Linked DNA regions of Arabidopsis thaliana. The protein of the gene in region 2 interacts with the protein of the main gene of each other region in a pairwise test. Each region holds a gene or a part of one and is shown on either strand. Other genes may lie near its edges.

What was found. The genes of interacting proteins can lie anywhere in the genome.
Region 1: the proteins of AT3G52640 (region 2) and PIP1;5 interact in a protein complementation assay, tested with the Arabidopsis thaliana proteins (one large-scale study listed by BioGRID).
Region 3: the proteins of AT3G52640 (region 2) and AT1G29060 interact in a protein complementation assay, tested with the Arabidopsis thaliana proteins (one large-scale study listed by BioGRID).

The regions. Positions count from the first base shown.
Region 1 is NC_003075.7:12,218,666-12,223,067, reverse strand, and holds PIP1;5 (plasma membrane intrinsic protein 1;5), read right to left. Parts: upstream 2,428-4,402; 5' UTR 2,277-2,427; coding exon 1,946-2,276; intron 1,673-1,945; coding exon 1,377-1,672; intron 1,283-1,376; coding exon 1,142-1,282; intron 1,009-1,141; coding exon 913-1,008; 3' UTR 600-912; downstream 1-599. Other genes in the region: AT4G23390 (NEP-interacting protein, putative (DUF239)), read left to right, coding at 3,381-3,539, 3,678-3,764, 3,844-4,071, 4,181-4,330. UniProt on the Arabidopsis thaliana protein: Aquaporins facilitate the transport of water and small neutral solutes across cell membranes.
Region 2 is NC_003074.8:19,514,371-19,522,736, reverse strand, and holds AT3G52640 (Zn-dependent exopeptidases superfamily protein), read left to right. Parts: upstream 1-2,192; 5' UTR 2,193-2,319; intron 2,320-2,394; 5' UTR 2,395-2,446; coding exon 2,447-2,531; intron 2,532-2,621; coding exon 2,622-2,735; intron 2,736-2,819; coding exon 2,820-2,934; intron 2,935-3,495; coding exon 3,496-3,578; intron 3,579-3,726; coding exon 3,727-3,803; intron 3,804-4,204; coding exon 4,205-4,282; intron 4,283-4,900; coding exon 4,901-4,972; intron 4,973-5,074; coding exon 5,075-5,148; intron 5,149-5,246; coding exon 5,247-5,379; intron 5,380-5,486; coding exon 5,487-5,558; intron 5,559-5,644; coding exon 5,645-5,764; intron 5,765-5,982; coding exon 5,983-6,054; intron 6,055-6,160; coding exon 6,161-6,301; intron 6,302-6,491; coding exon 6,492-7,108; coding exon of another isoform or gene 7,109-7,112; exon of another isoform or gene 7,113-7,394; coding exon 7,395-7,659; 3' UTR 7,660-7,864; downstream 7,865-8,366. Other genes in the region: AT3G52660 (RNA-binding (RRM/RBD/RNP motifs) family protein), read right to left, coding at 1-139; AT3G52630 (Nucleic acid-binding, OB-fold-like protein), read right to left, coding at 8,141-8,205, 8,295-8,366. UniProt on the Arabidopsis thaliana protein: Probable subunit of the gamma-secretase complex, an endoprotease complex that catalyzes the intramembrane cleavage of integral membrane proteins such as Notch.
Region 3 is NC_003070.9:10,145,408-10,150,379, reverse strand, and holds AT1G29060 (Target SNARE coiled-coil domain protein), read right to left. Parts: upstream 2,776-4,972; 5' UTR 2,524-2,775; coding exon 2,462-2,523; intron 2,339-2,461; coding exon 2,215-2,338; intron 1,778-2,214; coding exon 1,721-1,777; intron 1,083-1,720; coding exon 921-1,082; 3' UTR 600-920; downstream 1-599. Other genes in the region: AT1G29070 (Ribosomal protein L34), read right to left, coding at 283-496. UniProt on the Arabidopsis thaliana protein: Required for vesicular transport from the ER to the Golgi complex. Functions as a SNARE associated with ER-derived vesicles.

The sequences.
Region 1 (4,402 bases), on a different chromosome or scaffold from region 2:
CAATAAACAACTCTGATATTTGTTTGATAAATGTAAACAACCCGAGTACTACATGACCAAAGGGCAAATGCAAATTACTTATTCTCTTAAAGTCAAGCTCAAGCTGAAGTCTTGCACTTTCTTGGCCCATCCATATTGCTACAACTCTTTTTTGGATGATAGTCATGTAGACTCTTTCACATTTCTTGGCCCATTAGATTCTTTCATGACTATCATCCATATTACAAGTTGCTGCATCAAACATGTGAAATATGTTATCATTCATGTGAAAGATGTTACTAAATCTGGTTCTTTTATTATTTTACTGGAACCCTACCATGTGGAACAGAACATGCATTTTCATGACTATCAACCAAAACCAAAACCAAAACCAAAACCCCGAACTGAACATCATCCAAGAATATCTATAACTGAAACTGTGATTCAAAAGTTGAAAATTCAGTTATAAGCATGTTATAAAAAGTGGAAAATGAAAGACTCTTATAGAAGAAAGAAGATGAAGAAATACTTGCGATGATGGTGTTAGACCAGTTCAGTTCGGCTTAGATGTTGTTCTATCAAATTCTACACATTTTACAATTATGTTGCTAATGTTTGGTATTGGAAACACTTATTGACAATGTTAGCAACTTAGCATACCTATGTCCAGTTCAGTTATGTCTCTGTGATATTCAAACAAGATTCTGAGCTTACACATGTACACAATGTATTCTTCCATTGACATAATTAATGTTACAAGATACAATGCCATTGATACATAATAGATTACACATTTACACTGTTACAAGATCAAAGCTCTAGTGGTACATATAGAGATCATCACACATGACATAGGAAACAAGAAGAAAGCATATAGAATTAAAGATTGATATATTCTTAGCTTGATGATGATCAGAGAATATGTAGGAAACTTTATGTCTTGGACTTGAAAGGAATAGCTCTGATGACTATCTGATGGTACAGAGCAGCAAGCGCAGCACCAATGAATGGACCGACCCAGAAGATCCACTGCAGACACATAAAACAAAAGAGACAACAGATAAGAGCAGAATTATCAAAAATTCTGAGTTGCTATTTAGATGCAATTCATAACTTATCATACTTAGCACAACCGTTGATGTAATTAAAGAGGAAAACTTACATGGTCATCCCAAGCATGATCCTTGTTGTAGATGATGGCAGCTCCGAGACTCCTGGCCGGGTTAATGCCAGTTCCAGTAATTGGGATGGTAGCCAAGTGCACCAAGAAGACAGCAAACCCAATTGGAAGCGGAGCCAAGATCTGCAAAATGTTCGATAACCAAAAAACACATGAGCTCTATGTGAAGAATATGAACTCAACACAACTCAAGGATACTAGAGAATTAGCAACATACAGGGACATGAGAGTCTCTGGCACTTCTCTTAGCATCAGTAGCTGAGAAAACAGTGTAAACCAGAACAAAAGTTCCAACAATCTCTGCACCAAGACCTGAACCCTTTGTGTAACCATGAGCCACCACATTAGCTCCACCGCCATTCGTCTGGTACAGCCCTGGTTGAAACCCTTTAACCACACCAGCACCACATATAGCTCCAAGGCACTGCATTACTATGTAGAACAGAGCTCTGGTTAAAGATAGCTTCCTCGCCAAGAACAAACCAAAAGTCACCGCCGGATTAATATGTCCTCCTGCTCATTACCAAACCAATTCGCCACACACAAGTCAAAATCAGATTATGATCTTCACACAGAAGAAACAAAGTGGGGCAAACTAACCAAAGTTTCAAACTTTAAGAAGAAAATTACTCAAAGTTTCAATCTTTAAATGTGAAATTACTTTTAAGTATCAAACTTTCTTCATTATATCCAAGTTTCTCACAACCAAGTAACCCTAATTCCAGATTCCTTCAACCTAAATTCGAAAACTTTAAACAAAATTCAGAGCAAGAACAGATCCTGAACCTGAGATTCCAGCAGTACAGTAAACAAGAGCAAAGATCATGCCACCAAAAGCCCAAGCGATGCCTTGGATTCCAACAGAGGCACACATATTGGGAGCTCTCTTAACACCCATGACTGTCAAAACGGTGACGTAGAGGAAAAGGAAAGTGGCTATGAACTCAGCTATCCCTGCTCTGTAGAAAGACCAAGATTTGAGCTCGCCGGGTTCGAAAAACGGCGCCGGTGGTGGTTCCTTATAGTCCTTGCTCTCCGTCTGAGCCGCCGTACCGATCGGCTGTCTCTCTGGGAACTTGTTGGCTCCAACATTGACGTCTTCTTCTTTGCCTTCCATGTTTCTCTCTCACTCTATCACCACCAACTTTAGTTTGTTGTCTCTGTAAATTTGATGACTGGTGTATGTGGAGGTTTTATAGTTTGGTTCATTTAGGCAAAAATAATTATTAATTAAATTTGCTACTAATTTCCAAAATCTTATATTTGTTATTCATGCAAATTTCTAAATTATCAGAAAATGTGTAAATAAATAAATATAGTTAATTACTAATTATAGAAAATAAATTAGTGAATTTAGACTAAATTAACTTAATCTGTCTAAAATTTTTGTGATAGATAATTTTAATTGCAATGGTTGATATAGAGTCGCACTCAAGTCTCTTTTGATTGATGATTTGCATTTTTTTTATTGTCAATCATAACTCGTGGTTTATAAACCTACATTTTCCATGTAAGACTTTTAATTCGTTTAATGTTTAATAACGGTTTTCTATCTAGTTAGTCTTTGAGCATAATACTTAAATTAAAAAATGTTGTTTTAAGATAAGAATTAGAGGTAGGTAGTTGAAATGGACTGGACAACTAGGCGCGAAAACGATGCATAGAAGAAGATGGACATAAGATTAAGCAACTACCATATAATTTGTTAAAACAGAATATATTACAGCTCAAATGATGTGGACAATTCTAACATAATGTTTCTATCAATTATGTGAATGATATTATAGAGGAAATTATTGGATGTCAAAAATATTATAGATGAAAGAAGACACTTCACATGGAAAATGTTCGCCTTATCGATCTCTACTGTTTATAGATCAATTCATGGTTTATTTAAGTTCCTTTGTGTCACTACTGTGTTTTTTTTTTATATTGGGCTTTGATCTAAAAACTTTTTTTGGGGTCAATTGATCCATAAACAAGCTTTTCCTTTTTCTTATGGAATATACTTTATACAAAAAAAAGTACATTAAAAAAAAGAGAAATCTTACTTTAGCATCTACATATGGGCAATAGAGATAGAGGGAGATACATTTGTCATTTACTGTGTATAGGTTCTTTGGTGGTTATAAATGATCTCAGATTTATGTGACACAATAAATATAGTTGTTCTGCTTCATTTTTTCTTTTGAAAAATATAGATTAAGATCCTTGATTCATCATGAGGTATTCCAATAAACTAATTATCTTGCTAACTTTATCAACAATAGCTCTCATTTTAGTTGGAGAGAGTCACAAAACAATACCTTCGAAAGAGGAGAAAGAAGAGATGAAGAAGCTACTTACCTATCTCAATAAACCTGCAGTCAAAAGTTTCCAAGTAAATTTAGCCTTTCTTTTCTTAAATTTTCATAAAACATTACAAAAATTGTTGACTATTGTAACAATATTACAACTATCATCAAGTTACATTTATTTTCAGACCACACCAATTTTTTCTTGCTTTTGATTTCGACAGACTGAACATGGTTATATATTTGACTGCATCGACATTCAAAAACAGCTAGCTTTTGATCATCCTTTGCTCAAGAACCATTCTATTAAGGTTTATCCTACAAACCACGAAAAAATATCTATAAATAAAATTCTTATTAATGTTTGGATGGATTGAAATATAAATGCAGTTGAAACCCACAACTATACCTAAATGGACCAAAGATAACAACGCTTCTCATAAAACTAGTTCTCTGCCATTTCGACAAGATGACATAAGTTGTCCAGTTGGGACAGTCATTGTCAAAAGAATTATACTTGAAGATCTTATACGAGCTCAACGTTTGCAATCCTTACGATTCAACTATCCAGGACAAGTGTCTGCAAAGGACAAGAAAATTGATTTAACTGGTCATCATGTAAGAATCATTTCTTATTACACGTAGTTGAATTGAGATCGCCTTGTAACTTGTCCACAATGCTTATAATATTTTTTGATTATCTATTCTTTTTCTCTTCGGATTTTAGTTTGCCACAATTAGTTACAAAGATGACCACTATGGAGCAAAAGGAAACATTAACGTATGGAATCCAAACGTCTCACCTGATCAATTTAGTCTTGCGGCTATGGCTGTATCAGGCAACAAAGGATTTCAAAGCATTTCTGCTGGATGGATTGTAAGTCAAGCTAGACCCTATTTTTACTTATTTTCTAAATCAAAAATTTGGAACTAACATTCCAAAATATGT
Region 2 (8,366 bases):
TCTCCTCCTCTTCAACTTCTTCGTATTCAACTTCCTCCTCCAGAATCTCCTCAGGATCATTGTCACCATCAAGGTCTACCCTTTCCTCAGATTCCATGGAGTCATGAGCCTCAGAAGCAGCAGTCCTCGTCCTTGACATCTTAAATATCTAGAAAAGAATGCTTGCAGTACAACTGTGGAGGAGACACAGAAGCAAGAAGCAAGTGGGGAGAGAGAATAAAACCGAGGAAAGGTTGGAAAAGAAACAATAAGAGGCCAATAGAAAAGAAGAATAAGAAGTTCGAATTGACGCTTTGCCATAATGCGGCTAAAAAGGTGACAAACAAATAGACAAAGAGAGAAGAGGGCGATGAAATGCTCAACAGGTGAAACAAAAAAAGATAAGAAACGAAATGACCCCTGAGAGCGGATAAAAACCATGATATCATAGGCCTTGGTTAGATGCAAAGAAGGTTAAAATATTCATGGCAACAAGAAAGATAAGAAGGGCTAAAGTCAAAATAGTATCTTTGCTTAGAAAACTCCAGCTCCATGTTAGAATCTCCCACAACAGACATTGTTCAGAATTTGCAAGTGATATTTTTTATGCTGCCAATCTAACCTGTTAAGAGAATCCTCAGCTTATAACTACAATTCTATTTGATTATTTCACACAAATTGACCACAATGATAGATACAACCAAGAACAACCCAATACACATACAAAGCTATAACTCAGAGAAATGTCAATCAAAGGCGTGTTTAAGCTAACTTAGCAATCATTGGAACAAAAATGAGAGAAAGATTCAGTTTTTAATTAAGATAAGAAGAGTTACACAAATCCCAATTTTGGATCCCCAACCAAAAAAAAAGATTCACGAAAGGAAACGAAGAGAGGCGCAATGAGATGAAAGAAGAAAGAGCGAGAAAGTACCTGAGAGAGCTGCCGGAAGAAAACCCTAATTTTGAGAATTACGGAGAGGATGAAGAAGTGTCTATCTTCGCGCACCTCAGGTGTTGAAAAATATGTATATGTGTATGTTGTATTGATATGACCTAAAAGATGCCTAAGCGAGACTATCAAGGAGGTGTAGTCACTTTTTATTATGATGCGACCAATCTTATATTACGGCTTATTACCGATCTTAATATACGACAAATTTGATTTTTATGCAAAAAAAACTTTCAAGTTGGATGAGAATTTGCGCCTTATATTTTTTTTACACATTGTTTTCAAAATTAACACTAGTTTTTTCTTAATTAACATGCAGTTTATACATGATCTACGTTATTTGTTAAAATCACATATGGAATAATTTCTTTAAAATTATAGTTTTACCATATACAATATGTTTTTTTTTTTATCAATTTTTAGCCAAAACTTGCCTATATAATCTAGCAAATAATACCCTAATCAATCATAATTAGTCTACGATTTTGTAAAAATGAAGCCATAAAATGTAATACAAATTTCTTACAAAAAAAAAAAGAAAATGTGGAATGAAAATATTTTTTCTTTTTGTATAAACAACTAGATTATAACCCGCGGTACACCGCGGAGACAATTATTTTTTAAAATTAGTATATATAAAAGTCTGTAAATTATATTTATCTATAAAATATTTATATTTTATAGTTTACAATTGTTATTAAGTAACATCCTTCCAAACCCGTTCTGCCAAACCCGTCCCGTTAAAAAAATTTGTAGTACACCGCTAATTTAAAAAAAAAAATTACGGGATTGCAATTATATTTTAGTTTGTCAAACAAATTTTTGTTTTAAATAGTTGTCGAAATCTAATTCAAATTTTGGAGAAATAAGATTTAGTGAACTGATAAGAAATGTATTTATGTGCGTTTTGCTCATTTTAAGGGATTGCAATTGTATTTTGGTTTGTCAAATATTTTTTGTTTTAAATAATTTCCGAAATCTAGTTCAAATTTTGGAGAAATCTGCGTGATATATGGGATTGGAATATATTTGGAATATTTTTTGTTTGTTAATCAATTTATTGCTAAAAGAAAATAAATAAATAAAAGCCAGTGGCAGCCATTGTAAATAAGTTCCAAATCTAGGATTTATTTTACAAAATGGCTGCAAAAATATATATATAGATAGGTTCACTTAATTACTTTTAATATAATAAAATCCGCACAAAATGTGAATACCTCAATTTTTCTATATCTTGGGAATTTTGAAAGACATAAGAATCAACACGAAAAATCTCAGTCTTTGACTCAGACTCCCACCGCGTAATTCCGAGCTAGGTTTCCATTTCTCCGGCGAATCGGACCTCTCTCTCGCTCTCTCTTCCAATTTCCCCTTTTTTCGTTTCCCAGGTACTGCTTCTTCCGATTCTAACATTTTTTGATCTTTTATAAAATCGGTCACATTATTCTTGATCGTATCTGCAGCGATGATTTGCAAGTAGCTTCCGCTAATAATCGCAACTCTCTGACGGATGCTATGGCAATGGGACTTATTCGTCTTCTTTCTATAGCTTTTACACTTGTTCTACTTTCAATCCTTCCTCTTCATCTCTCTCTCGCTGGTGAGTTTCCTTTCCCCGGATAAAATTGGTGATGAAATGTATTAGTTGATAGAACATTGTAATCTGAAATTGAGGTTTCGTTTTGTGTAGATGAGATAACATCTATTGAATCTGTACCTGACCTTCAGAAGCTAATGTATGTTGCTGTTGATGGGTTTCCTTGTGTACGTCTTCTCAATCTGTCTGGAGAGATTGGATGTTCAAGTAAGCTTCTTTTGGGCCTCTCAGCTACATGATTTTTATCTGTTGATGAGGTCCTCTAAGTTTTATGTTTATAAAAATACTCAGATCCTGGAATAAATAAAGTGGTGGCTCCAATCATAAAATTAAAGGACGTTAAAGATTTGGTTCAGCCACACACTATTTTGGTTACAGCTGATGAAATGGAAGATTTCTTTACCAGGCATGTCTCCTTTTTCATTTACAAAACTTTCATGACCTCTATTCGATTTTGTTAGTGATCTCTTAATTTGTGGAGTAGTGCTTTCCCACTCGCTTGTAGTTCTCATTTTGGTGTTTTATTTAACGTCAAACAAGATTTAGCTTTTGGGTGCCAAATCAGCCTTTTTGGAAAGGCAATTACATCCTTAAGAATAACGTATATCTAAGAGTTTGTTTTCATTAGTACTTGAGTATTTAAGGCAAACACTTTTAGTAATCTTCCATGACAGTGAAACAACAGATTGGAATGAGTATACCCTCTTATCACCATTTTTGAAATCTGCTAGAAATGTAGTCACTTGGTTGTTGGTGCATGGATTAGGTGTTTAGTGGAACCAGTAATTCATTGGCTTTTTCCGCTTTATTTTCATTCGACTAACGGAAAGTAGGTATACCTCCAAACACTTTACTGTAGAACCCTGCAGTCTGGCTTACTTCTGGCATTGTTCATTAGACTTGTACATCGCTTAGACACTCTATTCAGTAGAAATAACAGGACCACTCCTCTTTGTGCCTTTTCCAGGGTGTCAACTGATTTGAGCTTTGCTAGCAAAATTGGTGGTGTTCTAGTTGAATCAGGATCTAATTTCCAACAAAAGTTAAAAGGTACTATGTCCATCCACATATTTATGATTCTGTCAACTTGAATGGCTAATTCCTTAAATTGTCTTGAGTTCTTAATTCCCTTAAAAATAGTACTTGATACTTCTTATCTATGTTGATGGCGTTAGTGTTTCTTTCTTCTTTATTGTAGGGTTTTCTCCTGATAAAAGGTTTCCTCAAGCCCAGTTTTCACCCTATGAAAACGTTGAGTACAAATGGAATTCAGCTGTACGGTAGCGTAAACTCTGTCTGGATCTTTGAAATTACTTCTTCCTGTCAACTCTTTTATAGTGGGTTGGAAATTGTTTCAATCAGTTATCACCAAATCCATAGTCAAGCATTTCCGAGTTATATGCTGTTTTCTTCTGGAACTAAACTTAACTACCTGCTAACACACAAATACCATAAATCCTTTTCTTATGGTATAATTTTACTGGAGGAATGCATGTATCTGCCTAGATGATCACTTATAAAGAAGTTCAAAAATCTGTTGCATATTTATCTACCTTAATTAAAAGATAGTTCCTCTTATTGTTATCTACGGAGAAAAAATGATTTTGATTCTTATGAGTAGTTGCAGGCGATAAGTCTCTAGCCATTGACCATTGCTAAAAAATGATTATTTGCAGGCATCAAGCATCATGTGGAGAAATTATAATTTTCCTGTGTACTTATTGTCAGAAAGTGGCATATCAGCTGTGCATGAGGTAATCCTTCAAACTTGCATTCTTTTGCAAATTTTAAATGTGTCTATTTGTGTTGTCAGAAAAGCGAAATTGATGACATTTTTAGAAATATGAGGAAATGAACTCAAGGCTTAGAGAGGCATTATGACTGTTGGTCACTCTTAAGAGCAGTATTGCTTGATGAAAATATGGCTGTAAAATGATGCATGAGATATGTATCTCCAAGGTCATATGAAATGAATACTCCTAGTTTAAACTGAATTAGTCTGCAGAAATTTTTCTAAGCATTGATTACCCATTTTAAATAAGAATACAAATTTGGTCCTGGAATGTTTGTCTCATCCAGCTGAAGGCAACTCCCAGCTGCATCTGTAGATTTCAAATGCATGTTGCTTTCCATAGCCTGTAATTGGACTCAACCATAGCCTTTCCATTTGTCTTGTGGTAGTTGCCTTTAAACTGCTGGTCAACTATGTCATTCTATAGTATGTTGTTGTCCTTACCAGATGAGGTTCTGTCAAGAAGCTAGCTTTATGTTTCTGTTGTGTTGGTAGCAATCTAAAGTGTATAGTTTATGTGGATAGCTTCACTTTTTTCAGGTTATCGACTACATATTTACATCCTATTATATTTGCGCAGATCCTTTCCAAGAAAAAGATGAAGCATGGAACATATACCAGTGATGTTGCTGAATTCAATATGGTTATGGAGGTATATGGCTTTAGCAATCTTGCTCACTGGAACGTTAACCAGCTTTATGGATCTTCACTTTGACTTAGATTATGACACCCAATTCTCTATTTTTTGTATTAGACTACCAAAGCTGGAACACACAATTCGGAGGCTTGTTTGCAGGAGGGAACTTGCCTCCCATTGGGCGGATATAGGTAAAGATTTAGGTCTTTATTACTGTCTGATCTAATGACATATGAAAACCTTTTAAAGGATACGTTTCGTTTTCTAACAACTTTGTTATGAAGGACAGTGTTTGGTCCTCGCTTCCACCAATCAGTGTTTCGTCTTCCAACAATCGCAAACCAGTTGTGCTGACTGTGGCCTCCATGGATACTGCATCATTTTTCCGTGACAAAAGTTTTGGTGCAGATTCACCAATATCTGTGAGAACTTGCTATTTTCTGCTTTTGGGTTGATCTAGAATACATTTATTTACTCTTCTTATTCTTCTTTTCCCGATTTATTGCTCAACACGTTCTCCTTCTTTCAGGGTCTGGTAGCTCTTCTAGGAGCAGTTGATGCTCTTTCTCGAGTTGATGGTATTAGTAATCTCAAAAAACAGGTGCCAGTGTACCATGTGATTTAGTGTTATTTCACGCTTTTTGTTGTTTGCAAGCTTTAATACATGTAAATCGTAAATGAATGCAGCTTGTGTTTTTGGTTCTGACCGGAGAGACATGGGGTTACCTTGGCAGCAGGAGGTTCTTACACGAATTAGATCTGCATTCAGATGCTGTCGCAGGCCTTAGCAATACTTCGATTGAAACGGTAATCATTATTGTTTTGGTCTGACAAAGTTGATAGAGACAGCTAGCCTTATGCATGAAATCCCTGTGGAAAAAGTTGCCTGTGTTTCATCGTTGCTGCAACTTATTTGTTTCTTAGTAGCGCAGAAAGCAAGTTTAAGTGTTCCTTGTGAAATTGAATGTTCACAATTTTCTAAATCTAAAGATCGAATTCAGATTGCTTCTTCTATTATCTAACAGGTGCTTGAAATAGGATCTGTTGGAAAAGGTTTAAGTGGAGGGATAAACACCTTCTTTGCTCATAAAACAAGGGTGAGAAATTCCTGATATCCTGAAACTCTTGCATAATTCGAATTCGTTCGATAATGTGAAAACTGTCATAGGCGACTTAACCTCCACTTTTGGTGTTCTGCTTTAGGTTTCTTCAGTTACAAACATGACACTGGATGCTTTAAAGATAGCTCAGGATTCACTTGCATCAAAAAACATCAAAATTCTTTCAGCAGATACTGCAAACCCTGGAATACCCCCATCCTCCTTGATGGCTTTCATGAGAAAGGTACAATATATATTCCAAGTAAATAGATGGGAAGACAATTCAAATGTGTATTCGCACTATACTCTTTGCATATACTTCACCTTCAGTTGATCATGAATATGACAGGAGAAGTATACTTGCTTACTATTATGTGATTCTGAACCAGATTGCCTAGAGTGAAAAAGGTATAACATCATATTCATTGTTGCAGAACCCTCAGACTTCAGCTGTTGTACTTGAAGACTTTGATACCAACTTTGTGAATAAGTTCTACCATAGTCACCTCGATGACTTGTGTAAGAAGAGTCACAGCCTGTCTTTCTCTTCTTTTCGCTCCAAACCCCATTTTGCACTTTTGATTCCTTTCTGGTGTTGTATTGCAGCAAATATCAACTCCTCGTCTGTAGTAGCTGCTGCTTCTGTTGTGGCCCGAACACTTTACATCCTAGCAAGTGACAACAAAGATACAAGCAATTCAGCTCTGGGATCCATCCATGTCAATGCTTCTTTCGTTGAAGAGCTTCTAACCTGTCTTTTAGCTTGTGAACCGGGCTTATCTTGCAACTTGGTAAAAGACTATATTTCACCGACAAACACTTGTCCAGGCAACTATGCTGGCGTCATCCTCGGAGAACCTTCCTCCAAACCTTACCTTGGTTACGTCGGTGATGTTTCTAGATTCCTATGGAACTTTCTGGCAGATAAAACATCTGTCCAAAAGGGAAATACAACCTCAGTTTGTTCAAAAGGAGTCTGTAGCAAAACTGACGAAGTGTGCATCAAAGCAGAGAGCAACAAGGAAGGAACATGTGTTGTCTCCACAACCAGGTAAACTCTGTGCTTGGAAATTGCAATTTGGTTTGCATGCTCAAGTTCTCTCTTATGTCTCAAAATGAACCAAAATCTTAAGTCTGGTAGGCATTTTATAGGAATTATTAATTAGGATAGGCTTCAGAAGTGGAGTGTTTTTAGACTTGGGAGAAAGTCTATCTTTAGTTTGTTGACCTTTGAATTGAAGCTATCATCATTTTCTTCTTCCCCTGACCTGATATGTTGTATGTGACCTAACCAATTTGCTGTCTGAGCATAACACATTAAGTTCTGGTTTTGGCAGGTATGTTCCAGCTTATTCAACTCGATTGAAGTATAACGATGGAGCTTGGACAATTCTACCACAGAACTCATCAGATTCTATGGGGATGGTTGATCCAGTGTGGACCGAAAGCAACTGGGACACTTTAAGGGTGCATGTGTACACAGTCCAGCACTCAGCATACGACAATGCAGTCCTCGTTGCAGGTATTACAGTCACAACGTTGGCTTACATCGGAATTTTGGCTGCTAAGTCAATCATCACAAAAGCCTTGAAGCAGGACTGAGACTTGTATTTAATTCCCTCTCCTCTCGGCTCAAAATTACTTGTCAGTTTCCGTAAGACATTGCCTAACCAGCAACACCACCAATACCTTAGTGGTAGAAACCTTTTTTCTCAACCAAGGTTATTAAAATATGTCTTTGAGCTAATTCATGTTAAATTCTTTATTACACTGGCAAGAAATTTATAAGAAAAAAGTTTGCTTTCACAAAATCCTATAGATAAAGCAACAATACAATTCTAAATCCAGAGCAAAATCTTAGCTGCCAAGAAGAAAATAGTGTTTTGTTTTGTGTTTTGGTACCTCAATTAACAAAACAGCAATTTAAGCTTAGTTGTGATAGATTAAGAAGTTGTTACATATACTAAGTAAATAAAATCATAGAACCAGAAAGTGGTGAGACATCAAATACATATAAAGCATAAGCATCTCTACAAAATGTTTTAATGGAATCGCTTCCATGATCATAATCATCATCACAACATTAGATGAACAAGTGCTTGAACTCCCCATTTGCTAGCTTACATAGCTCGTTGTAGTTCTGTGTATCTGCAACCAAAAATAACAACCAAAACATCAAAACACAACTCAATAGCAAATCTGATAAACTCGACACAGTAATGGAATCACTAAATTACCAAAAGTGTTGCCAAAATTGGTCCAAGTTTCAGCTCGAATAGCGTTATCACTCTCTGCAATTCCAATAACCT
Region 3 (4,972 bases), on a different chromosome or scaffold from region 2:
CTTAACAAGAAATATCAGAAACAAACAAAATGGCTTCTTTCACTCACACTCCCAAATCGAATTCACCATTGACAACTATGTTTCACAATTCCCAAATTCTTCTAAAAAAGCTTCGAATATATGTGTTTGCAAAGTAAGCTAGAGCCTAACACACGAGAATAGTGATAAATCAACCAAACCCAAAGAACCAGAAAAAAAAATCAAAATTGGGTAAAAGAACTTGATACATTACATCACCAGAAGCTAAACACAAACAATAATTCGAACCAATTTAAGATGTACCAGAAAATGGAGACGCTAGGGAAACAGGCGACGAGAGAAACGAGCAATGAAGCAATTGCGAAGAAGCGGAAGAAGTGAGAGAGGACGAACTCCGTCTACAACCCGTACGCAGAGAAAGCGAAGCAGAAGGAACGCAAATCTTGCCGTTGGAGGCAGCAGGATTCCATAAACGCGACGAAGCCGAAGCTACAACGGAAGTGGATAAGGAAGCCATTCAAGTTCCCACTTCTTATCTCCAAACCCAGTTCCTTTGTTTCTCCGGTCTCCTTTACATAGTGTGGAACCTCTATCGTCTACGGACGATACCACCATAAACTTACGCATAAGAACCAACCATAATAATACACGTATCACGACACTTCAGCCCATAAGACTATAAAAGCCCAATACTGAATTGGACCGGACGGGTAATTAATCAAGTTAAGGCCAGATTTGAACTGGTCTAAAATATCTCATGCTGTTGTTCTGTGATACAATTTTGCTTCATGTAAACTGTTAAAAACAGGCACTCTATATAACAGGTAACGAGAAGAACCACAAAATGTTTGTAATCTAGAGGATATTTTCTACAACTTATCCAACATTCATCAAGGGTTTTTTTTTGGGGGGTAACACAAGTATGCCATGAGTCTCTCTATCTATCTTTTGAACATCTTGGACCACATGTAGAGGATAAAGAAGAGGAGGAGCGCGAAAAGAACTACGTGCATTATGTGGTTGTTACCACTACGGATTATGCTTAGGTTCAGTTTCCTTATGTTGTTCTTCACCCCTGCTTGCGCTCTGATCAATGTCATTTGCTGTCACAAACAAAAACAAAATACCATTGAAGCGTTTTATGTTTCAGACAAGAACAACATTTCGTCTACTTATTTTATTTTGCTTATAACAGCACTAAATGCTTGTTTCTGCAGTCTCACTACCAAATCTAGTTGTTTGTCATTATCTTCTCTAGGATGTTCTTCTAGGTAACAAAAGAAAAAACTAGAACGAACTAAAAGCAATGAACACATTCAACACCAACATTCTCATTGACAAAGTGGCAGGAACTCAATGATAAGCTGTAACCATTTCCTGCTGCATTTCACCAAACTAGGTGAGATTGAAGATATCTAATCCTACCCACCACCAGCGTTCAGACCAGATCCTAAGTAAACATAATCTACACTTTGGATTTATCAAGATTCATTGGTTTTGTAAGCTACGGTTAAAGTTATCTAACATATGTTAGGATGAAACTATATTTTCCCAACTAATAATGAACAGAGACATCTGAAACAAGTTATAGGAAACCGATATTCGGATATACTATATATAATCAGTGATTCATCTTAAAGGTAAAGAAGAGTAAATGAATGCATGTTACTGATGTTAAGTGCTTACATTGCAATTTACTATGATGGATAAAGAAAAAACTAAAGGGACATCAACAACATACCAGTTCATCTAAGAAGTCCCTCTGAGACTTTGCTTCTGACCCAATTTCTTGAGCAATCTGCATCAAAATAAGCGATCAACGATATAACAAAAAATCATGAGGGATAAATAATGCGCAAAAGTGCAAGGTAAAACACAAGGAATTGTAGAGAATGTCGACTGATTCCTTCAAGAAGGGTGGTGATATAAAACAATAACCACAGATGTATACAAAAGACATCAGACAAGTGGATTCAACTAATTAATCGTGGACTGACTGATAAGTATTGTGAACAATAACATTATCATAGTACCCTGAACAAAAAAACACCTACACAACTAATTAACCAAGCTCTAACCACTGTCAAAACCGAAAAGAAGACAAATTTCCAAATTCATATGATCAACTTAAAGCTTAAAGAGAACAATGATCCTTCAGAACCACAAGAAGACAATACAAATGGCACTATAGATAAAAAGTAGAAAGATCGAAATGGGATTTAGAGGGTTTCTTACATTTTTCAATTGCCTGACTTGGCCATGGAGACCTAGAATCTCATCATCCAGGTCAGAGTGCATAGGATCAATCCTCAGCTGAATTTCCTCTGAACCTGAAGCATTTCTAGTGCTTAGCCCTTCTCTACAAATCACACACCAAAGATAAATACTTGTACTTTACGCAGAATTCACCAAATCTAGGACCCGTTTTCTCTATCCAGAATCGATTTCAGAAAAGGAGAAACTGATAATATTAGAAATATACCTAGATCTATACGGATCAGCTCCGCCGTATAGAGAACCACCCGCACCGCGATTGGACGCCATCGACGCGAAATCTAATGGGTGTAAGAAACCCTAAATTCGAATCTGCTGGGGTTTGAGAAATTAAGTTTTGTATTCTCTCAGAAAATTCGAGATCGAGAAATTGCAACCAAAAGAAGAGAACAAATTTCAGGCAAATCAAAGAGAAAAACGACGACGATTGAAACAAGCTGGGCGGGTGCTCTTCGATTCAATGATAAATGACCGCGAGGGAACACGTGGCGTTTTAATATTGGTTGATTATCGTCATGTTTTTGAGTTATGTAAACAAATAAAGAATGGCAGTTTTGAAATATTCGTCAGCCAATATTTTTTGGTTTATGGGCTTTTTTAACGGGCCGATCCCAACTTTAGTGGACCACAAATTCATTCGTTCATAATGATGTCATTGAAAAAGAGAGGTATTTACTCTGTTCGTTCTACATTCGTTGTATTGTAAGCATCAACGATACCCAATTACACAAGAAAAATGTTGTTTTTTCATGATGGTGTTGTTATTTTCTAATTGTTGTTAACGAAGAGTAAAGATAATAGAATCGTGTTTGCATTGTAGTCGTTAGTTTATCCATCGGTATTTATTTTTAATTTTTTAGTCTTTTTTTAATATATTAATTTTTAGTGATTGTTAACCAACTGTTTTATAAACGTTAACGATATGTAGGCTAAATTTTCTGAATTAGCAACAATGTAACAAGCATGATTTTATCGCTGAAAGGTATTGTTGAACCAACAAACTACAAAACAAACATAATTTCATCATTTGTCACTGTTGTGTATCACTGATGAAAGCCAAACAAACATATCCTAGTTTTGGTTACAATATCTCAGTGTTGATATGATAGATGATGGTAAGCGGTAACTCAATTTTCACATAAAGTAGTGGTCTTGACTTGTTGTTTCTAGTTGGTTGGGGCTAGGTGTCATTGCAATCGTTTTGACATTTTAGTAGGATCAAAGAGGTCCAGTCCAACGAATTTGAGGTCTAGTACAGAAAATGAAAATTTTGAGCTTTAATTAACATTTTTATTGAAAATAAATATTAATTGGAAAATTTCTATTTTTTTCAAAAACTTGGACTTTTATTCTGTTTTATTGAAATATTGTCTGAATTTTTAAAAAGAAATGAGCGTTTGTCTTTTGTACTTATCTAACAAATGGTTTATGTCTTGTGTCATTCATACTTTTGTCCTCTCTATTTTGATCTGGTATGACGTTAAAGTGTTATCCATTATTCATACGGTCCATGTTGCATTGGACTATATATCTACTAGTCAAATTCAAACATTTGACCTTCCACCAGATCCTATCGTAATTTTTACGTGAGTTGTAGTCCTTTTTTGTTTCCTGAAAGCAGAATTATTGTACCCATCTTTTTAACAATGGTAAGAAGATTTACGAAAAATGGTTCAATGAAACGTTCAAAAACTGTGAACAGAAATTGATTTGCTAATGTAGTTCGGAAAAGGAGAAAATGGAAAGTTGGAGAATTTATATATTAAAAAAAAAAAAAAAAGTTGGAGAATGTTATTAAATCATCGCAAAAACTTGTTAAATCACTGATACAAATATTGGAGAATTTTACATTTTCCTTTCTGCATTATAAGCTTATGGTTATGGCTATCTTTGTGAGTAAATAAACATCTTTTTAATTATTATTTTTTTCATTTATATATTCGAAATTAACTAGATGAGGGATTTAGTAAACAGAAAGAAGAGTTGACATCATGTAAAATCGACCGACAGGTTCATAATGATGTCATTGAAAAAGAGAGGTATTGTCATATATGGTGTCACCGCTAGGTAACAGAGACGTACATTAGCTTATGTTGATGTATTGTCAGTTGGTTAATAAAGCCCACCACTACTTCACAACTTGGTTGACTTTTCGTTTTAGTATTCGATTTGTCATCATTAATTATCTCCCAAGAATTTAGTCCACCGAGTCGTATGCTATATAGAATCCAAAAGATATCAAAAATTTACAAACAAACATTATAATAATACTTTGTACAATTCCTTTAGTTTAGTTCAAGTGCAAAATAGAAACTTATTCATGAACTGTATAGATTTCATATTTCGTACTTTGTCTCAACTAACAAAATGTATGTACTTTTGGAATTAAAAACATATTTAAGATTAACTAAATTTCATCACGAGTGTATTTTGTATATGATCGTACTACGTTAACCAAAAAGTTTCACTATCCCCAATACCCGAGTTTCTTAAAATATCGTATACTCTATATATAGTTTTATTTTCAATATATATTATCCTTGAATTATCATTAAATTCATGGATTTAACTACCCAAATATTATTTATAAAGATTTCATATCTTTTGGATTCCTAACAATTTATTGTATTTAAAAAGAAAAGAAAAAACTAGATCTGACGTTAGATAGTTAGTCCATAACAGATATAGTTGATATCCTATCAATTGTGAAGTGGGATAG